Linked DNA regions of Arabidopsis thaliana. The protein of the gene in region 2 interacts with the protein of the main gene of each other region in a pairwise test. Each region holds a gene or a part of one and is shown on either strand. Other genes may lie near its edges.

Region 1 (3,817 bases), on a different chromosome or scaffold from region 2:
TGCAGGACAAATGCTTCAGTTATTAACTCATTATCATGCCTTTCAGGTAAAAAGACAGATCGATGGATTTGTGTCAATGTACTACAAAGGCATAATGGTGGTATGTAAAACCTTCTCGCCTTGTTTTTTCCTCATAGTTCTGAACATTTGTGATTTGTCCTTCTTAATTTATGCTAAGACGTTTTCTTGTACATTTTGCCTTCAACAGTGTGAAGACGAGTCATGCAAGCACACAACCCGCTCCCCCAACTTTCGTCTACTCGGTGAACGTGAACGGGGGACAGTTTGCCCAAACTATCCTAACTGTAACGGAACCCTCTTACGAAAGGTATATACCATCATCAACCTTATAACTCCTATCTCTCTATTGCTTCACAGACTAACTCTTGACTTTACAGTACACTGAAGCAGACTTGTACAAGCAACTGTCATACTTCTGCCACATCTTAGACACACAATGCTCTTTAGAAAAGGTTTCTACTTTACAACCTTGTTATATTATTAATATCAATTTGTCTTGTCTATATCCCTAAAGTTATCGGTACCATTTGAAATAACAGATGGATGTTGGCGTGAGAATTCAAGTAGAGAAAGCAATGACGAAGATAAGACCTGCGGTTAAGTCAGCAGCAGCAATCACTCGAAGTAGTAGAGACCGGTGTGCTTATGGATGGATGCAACTCACAGACATAGTCATTTGATAGTTGTAATAATCATCTCATATGTAAGTAAATTAGTCTTTTATATATAATCTGCTTCAGACATCATTATAATCAAACTACTCAGATTTTGTTCACTCCTAAAGCTTATTAGCATAACTATAACTGAACATAGAAATCTGGCCAATGCTAAAACTCAAAACATTGTTCACTCCTGTCTGGCAGGTACTAGAGGAATTCCGATCATCATCATTGTCTGAATGTTATCTTCAAAGCAGAGTGGCTGTGGAAAAGCACATTCCTTGACTTGTTTTAGCTGGTTCCAGCGAGTGAGGAGCAGCGAGAAGAGTCTCTAGGTTCAGGTCTTGCTCTAAGGTCTCATTGATCCTTGTATGAGTTGGAGGTGGAACCTGTGGTAATCGCATAGGGTTTAAGCCTAAACCATTCATAACGGCTAAAGTCTGCATCATGCAGTAAATCAAGTTAATGATCTGAGTGATGTAATTTACAAATCAGACTTTGAACGTATATAATCATAGTAAGTAGGAAAAAAACCTGGACTTGAAGTTGAAGCTGCTTCAGATATTCTATAGCTTCATCAAGCATTGAGGCTTTATCAGTCTATAAACAAACAAAAGATAACGGATCAATCAGAACAATGTTTCTCACTATCTCTGATTCGAACAAAGATTGATTAACCTTGTTGGAATTGGGAATGAGTTTCTGCAAAGCTTTCATTTTCTCGTTGATCTTGCTCCTCCTCTTCTGCTAACACTCAGATTCTAATCAACTACAATCTCAAGGTTCTTCTTCTTTCTAAATTAAGAATCTTAAAAGGAAGATAAAAGAGAAAACCTTTTCAGACAAGTTGTGGAATTGAGCATCAATGTTTCTCTTCAACGAATTTCTCTGTTTAGCTCCACTTCTCTTTAGTGTTTAGCCATTCCAAAAAGAAAAGAGACTAATTTTGGTTTTTGTTTTCTTTTACAAGGAAAGCCAAGTGAAGCATCTCTGCAGCTAAGAATAGTTAAGTTTATACCTTGTGTTCGAAAGCATATTTGTCTTGGCCAGTTTCAGAGACTCCATAACCGACGGAAGAAACAGCTCCGCCGGAAACGGAAGGGAAGAAGGTCTCAGCGGAGGAAACATTAGTACTCTTCGGTGGTGAAGAAGGTTGAGCTGTAGGAGTACGGGAAAGAATCTGTCGGAGAAAGCTCGAGAGTTCGTCGGAAGAAGATGGAGGGGGAAGACGATCACCGACGTCAGAATCACCCATCTCTCTCTCTCTCTCTCTCTCTGCTCTACTCTGTGTGTAAAAATTATCACTGTGGCTTTTTCGTAGTAAAGCTTATAGGCGGGGGAGGTAGGACGCGTGAGATCACGTTCTTCAGAGAAGCGCGTGGAGGTTCTAAAAGAGGCGAGTGGCGTGTCGAATCCCTATAGACAGAATCTGGTGTCTCACATCACTCTGTGTGTGAACAGTTTCCTTTTGTAGCAATTTTATTTAATAATATTATATTTTTTACCTAATAAAAAAAAGGAAAAAAGCATTTTTGGACCACCAAGTAAATAAAAAACATACATTTTTATTGTTTTTTTCAATGTGATAAGTTAAATTGAGAGGAGGGGATGAAATTATGAAAATCAGTAAATGAAACGGTTGAAAAAATAAGAGTATTGATAAGATAGAGCATTGATAGACTATTTAATTATTATTATGACTAAACATGAAAATGGACAATTACTTGAAAAGTAAGGTCTCGCAACAGTTTCACCATTTTTGACAAATTACAAAAATCTATTTTTTCCTTCTTTTTTGTTGTTGTTGTTGTCCACAGATAAAGTGTGAATAAAACTGCATGCATTTCGAAAGATTATTTATTCGAGAGATTATTTAACACAAAATAAAATTCAGATATTATAATGGTCAATACAAAGACGATAACATGTCCTTGATCATTAGCCTTTTTTTAATGCATCCAAAGGGAAATATATATAATATAGTAATTAAAATAATTATGGTTCATAGCAAAAATAAGAATAACTAGATTTTAACCCGCGGTATACCGCGAAAACAATTTATTTTTTAAATTAATATATATAAAAGTTTGTAAATTGTATCTATCTATAAAATATTTTTATTGTATAGTTTACAATTGTTATTAAGTAACGTCCTGCCAAACCCGTCCCGCCAACCCGTCCTCTAAAAAAACTCATTTATTTTATGAATGTGATCTTATTTATGATATGTTTATGAATTATTGTCTAAATATTTTGTAATTTTGTAGTAATTAAATGTTATCAAATATCTCTACGGTTTGATGATTATAATCATGCAGAAAAGCAATATCAAAAATGATAATTTTGTAGTAATTAAATGATATTAAATATTTTAGAAGTTTTATTTTAGTAATTAATCGTGTAGTTAAGGTAGAGAGATTTTGGAAAGATTGTTAAATGTCAAATATTTAATTAGAAGATTTTCTTTCTAATTATCAAAAACAATTATTAAATGCCAATGACAGCCGCTGTAAATAAATCCCAACTCCAGAATTTATTTCACAAAGTGGCTGCAAAAATATATATATAGATGATAATAATCAAAATCAGAAATCAAATCAAAATCCAACTTGCCATCTAAATAAATGGAATCTTTCTAACTTGATAAAAAGGGAAATATTGGTAATTATGGTTCATAGCAAAAGAAAGAAACAAAAAAACTGAAATCCAACGAGATAAACGGAATCTTTCAAACTTGATAAAACATTTAAACGACTTCTCGGTTGCAAAGAGGACACTTGTTCGTGACCATTAGCCAATTCTTGATGCATCCGAAGTGAAAGTCATGCCCACATCCCAGTTTCGAAACTTCTTCATTGTCCTTCAATTTCTGCTGACAGATCACACATCTCTTCGTTTCATCGTCGCTACGCTTTTCATATTTCCTTCTTATTAGATTCTCATCAATCACTTCCTCGCTTAAACCAGTGCGTTCATCTCCTGTTTCGTCAGTGATGCTCAATAATTCCTAGAAAAAAAAAGATTCATTCATAAAATTATCGATATCTAAACTCTGCAGCTTATACAACTCTAGAATCAAGAAACCAAAATGGTACATATAATTTTTATTAAAGAGAGTCCTAATCTCTTCTACATCT
Region 2 (3,988 bases):
CTTCATCTTTCTGAAGTACCCCTTTTGCTCCCAGAACAATGTCCGCCGTCGTGCTCCGACCAAAACATGTAGTCTAAGTCTAATACTAGTTTGTATCATTATCTGTTACAACAAACATATCTGTGTACGGTAAAGGGCTTATCTTTGTGAAATGGATCTTTATTTGGGCTTTACCTTGTGACACAATAATATGTAGCCTTGGTTTGTGATATAAATTATTTTTTAAAGTTGGGATGTCAGCTGGGTTTCTCCATCTTCTGTAATGAATGTAGTTGATTCAAGTTCCGAGAAATTTATGAAGAAGCAAAAAAAAGAAAGCAAAAAAAAAACATTTAAGTACGAGATAGATTGATATACACTCATTCAAAAGAGAAAAAGTTATTTATACAGCAAGATAGTAGTAGTAATACAATCTGCCTTTCTAGTTTGTTAACTAAAAAGAAGAACAATAGAAAACATATAATTTTACATATATAACTCACCAATATTAAAATCAATATATATGGTAATTTATTTTCTAAACAATTTTTGTTTTATTTCATAAGAGTCTGTTTTCGTTTAATTTAATAAGAGGCTTAGACTTTTGTATTTATATATTAATTATTACATGCATTGAAATTTTGCAGAATCTTACACTCTAAAAGTATGATATATATTTTTATTTTTCAATAAGTGTTAAAATGCTAAACAACACCACAGATGTTCGTGTTATCGATTTGTCTCCAAAACTTCCTGTTATCTATAAAGTTGGCTCACAAAATCATACACCTATGCATCAAGAACGTACCACAGGTACGAAATGCCATAAATTATAAACTTTTGACGCTTACATTGGAAACAAGACAGAAAACAATACTATTATTCAACTCACAAAACCTTAACTAGATGTCTGAAAGCTAAAACATGTTGCATTGATCAGTGACAAGAGACTATTTCATTTAGTAATGATAAATTGATAAACTATGCTTATTCTTTAGTCTTTACAACCAAGTTGTCTGACTTTTAAATTGTTAATTAACCATCCCAAACATTATCGAAACCCGGAAAGATAAAAACATTTAAAAAAAATGCTCTCATAGTTTCATGATACTAAATTCAACTCCCTCGATAATATTTTTTCCCGTCATATTAATAAACATATGATATATATTTAAAAATCAACATCATCATCATCTAAGAATCTGTGCATTTCCAAGCATCTGGTGATGATCAGACCGCATAATGCCACACCCTTTTCCTCCATATCCTCCACCAACAGTACCCGCAAGTGCTCCTCCGGCCACCGCCGTCATTCCTCCGCCGTTAACCACCGCATGTTCCTCCAGCGACTGCACTTGCTTCTTGAGAAACTTAACGTAATGGATAGCCTCATCGAGCATCGACGCCGTATCCATCTTAGTCCCACCGGGAACAAGCCGCTGAAGAATCCGAATCCGCTCGCTTATCCTCTCCCTTCGATGCCGAGCTGCCACGCTCTGTGGATCCTTAGAGATCCTCACGTTCTTTCTCTTTGGTGGCTTTACGGATTCCGGATCAATATGTATAGGCTGCATCACGGCTATTCGAAAGATCATCTCTCTCATCGCCGCCATGTTGGCGTTGTCGCTGCAGCCTCCTCTCTTCTCCGGGAGAGATGATGACGGGGAGGGGGCGTACCGGAAATTTAAACCGGGTTGGTGGTGAGGCATGGTTTGGTCAAATGGGAGATGAGAATGAGTGGGGTTGAAGAAGAACGGGTGGGTGTTGGATTCAGAAAGCATCATAATGTTATGGGGATTAGGGTTAGGGTTTGAGTTAGAGAAGTGTTCAGGAAGCTTCTCCATCTGCTGCATCATCATGTTCATTAGAATGTCGGAGTTATCCATCCTCCTTTTTTGTGGAATTTATAGGGTTTGTTTTTTCTTTGAGAGATATGGAGAAGCTGGTGAGATAAGGTATGGAGGAAGAAGAAGATGGACTGACAAAGCTTGAAATTTAGGGCTTTGTGTGTCTGAATCACAGAAGAGATGATGGTGGAAGACAGAGGGAGAGTTATGTGCGAAATGTAAACTGTTACTACCAATCAGAGATTCAGCAATATAAAAGGAAGTGATGGATTTATATAGCACTTTGTGACCCATTCTTATTATTTTACTCCTTTTTATTACATATATAATTTATAACAATTAGGATTGTTTTCCTTCTTCTATTTTTCACACTCCTAAAACTTTGTAACACACACGTATATGTATTTAGTAAATATATGTATGTATACATTAACGTACACTAGCTAGCAGTTGAAAATTTGTTCATTGCTTTGACATGGATGTTTCAACCTTCCATATGCATTGGACAGTTATATTTATGTTGCACGTATTTTTTTTAACTATAAATAAAATTATACTATTTATTTTATGACAAAAAATATAAATTTATTTACTTTAAACTTTCAATACCAGTTTTGCATAAATTAGTTGGTGTACTTATATATACTTTTGTCTGGAATCATTGCAACTCGCAAGAGATTGGAATCACTAGTCACTTGGTGTCACTAAAATTAGCTGATGAATGGAAAATTCGTTTTGAGTCATATTTCATGAAGGATATTATCCTTTGTCTGGATCAACCGTTCACGTGTCACAATCGGTGGGATTTTGGACCCACGAGTTGTGAACTAAGGCGCTTCTGGACAAATGAAGGTGCATGAACCGCTCTCACCATTTGAGGCAGCAACCATGAATTTTCCTATTTCTACAATTTTAATTTGTTTTCAAAATATAAAAATAAATCTTTTATATAAGTTCGAATGAGTGTAATGGGAAAGACTGAAAGAGAGAGTAGTTGTGTAGTTTTTTTTTTTTGGTATCTAAATTTTATACTACTGTTTTTTTTTGTTTATAATTGTTAATTACCCCACATCCACATGAAATATGTCAGAATCCAGGGAACCCATCTGTTTCGCCGGGATCTGTTCAGGCGACGGCGAAACAATATTACCTTGAATTCAAGTTTTCTTATTTTAACTTTTAACCTGGATGGATCCAATATGTTATGCATGAGAATATTAATGAGATGCACTGTCTTCGTTAGTAAGTAGTAAATAAGATTGATGTTATAACTTCTTTGAACATGCTTGAAGAAAACGTACTACGTTATTATTTTTTTGCATGATTTTTTTGTTTTTGTTTAAATGAGTAATATAGTGAATTTCTCGAGTTTCACAAATACAAACCATCATGTTAACGTATTTAGTTTATATGAATTTGTTTTGCAATGTATATACTAAGGGAGTGTATATTATGGAAGAATATTATCTTATATATAATGGACTCAATATAATCGAACCTCACTTGGCGTCGAGCGTTGGTATATGGCACGCTTATCAAAGCCGATCGGAAAGGACTTATTGCGATCTTCATTAAATTATTTTTCTCTTTATTTTAAGAACTTTACGTGAACATAGAGTAGTACTGTTTATTGACAAAAAACAAATAAAGAACAAAAGAAAGAAATTCTTATAACATTAGTTAACAAAGGAATTGCACTTCAACAACCAAATTAATAATAAATGACTCTTTCCTTAAAAATGCATACGTCAAACGTCAAAAACCTCACAATCTTCAATCAAGATCAATGCTTGGCTTCATTTGTGCAAAATCATCGGGTTTTTTCTTTTCATTCATAGAAATCATCTCTTTTGACGTCACAAAAGTAATTGCTTACTTGTTAATTAAAATTATTATGAGTTCGTCTTCTACCCTATAATTAGCCTAAAATAGACAGACACAGTAAGTTGCTTTGGACTTGGTTTTACCCTCTTATGTTGACACTGAAACATGTAAGAAAGCTAACGAAACGATGACGTTTCGCTGCTCTCTCTTTTTCAATCAGCTTCGTAAGTAACAAAAATAGATGCTATTTTCCCCTTTTCACCTTTTTACTTACACAAAGTCACTGTAAGAATTAAACACTCCTCCTTCCCACCGAATCTAAATTTCTTAACCAAGAT

What was found.
Region 1: the proteins of HEC2 (region 2) and ALC interact in a two-hybrid assay, tested with the Arabidopsis thaliana proteins (one large-scale study listed by BioGRID).

The regions. Positions count from the first base shown.
Region 1 is NC_003076.8:26,784,404-26,788,220, forward strand, and holds ALC (basic helix-loop-helix (bHLH) DNA-binding superfamily protein), read right to left. Parts: upstream 2,029-3,817; 5' UTR 1,936-2,028; coding exon 1,699-1,935; exon of another isoform or gene 1,587-1,698; coding exon 1,515-1,586; exon of another isoform or gene 1,425-1,514; coding exon 1,359-1,424; coding exon of another isoform or gene 1,281-1,358; coding exon 1,215-1,280; exon of another isoform or gene 1,121-1,214; coding exon 929-1,120; 3' UTR 703-928; downstream 1-702. Other genes in the region: ICU2 (DNA-directed DNA polymerase), read left to right, coding at 47-100, 209-328, 399-473, 561-701; AT5G67120 (RING/U-box superfamily protein), read right to left, coding at 3,427-3,687. UniProt on the Arabidopsis thaliana protein: Required for the dehiscence of fruit, especially for the separation of the valve cells from the replum. Promotes the differentiation of a strip of labile nonlignified cells sandwiched between layers of lignified cells.
Region 2 is NC_003074.8:18,656,254-18,660,241, forward strand, and holds HEC2 (basic helix-loop-helix (bHLH) DNA-binding superfamily protein), read right to left. Parts: upstream 2,125-3,988; 5' UTR 1,866-2,124; coding exon 1,170-1,865; 3' UTR 702-1,169; downstream 1-701.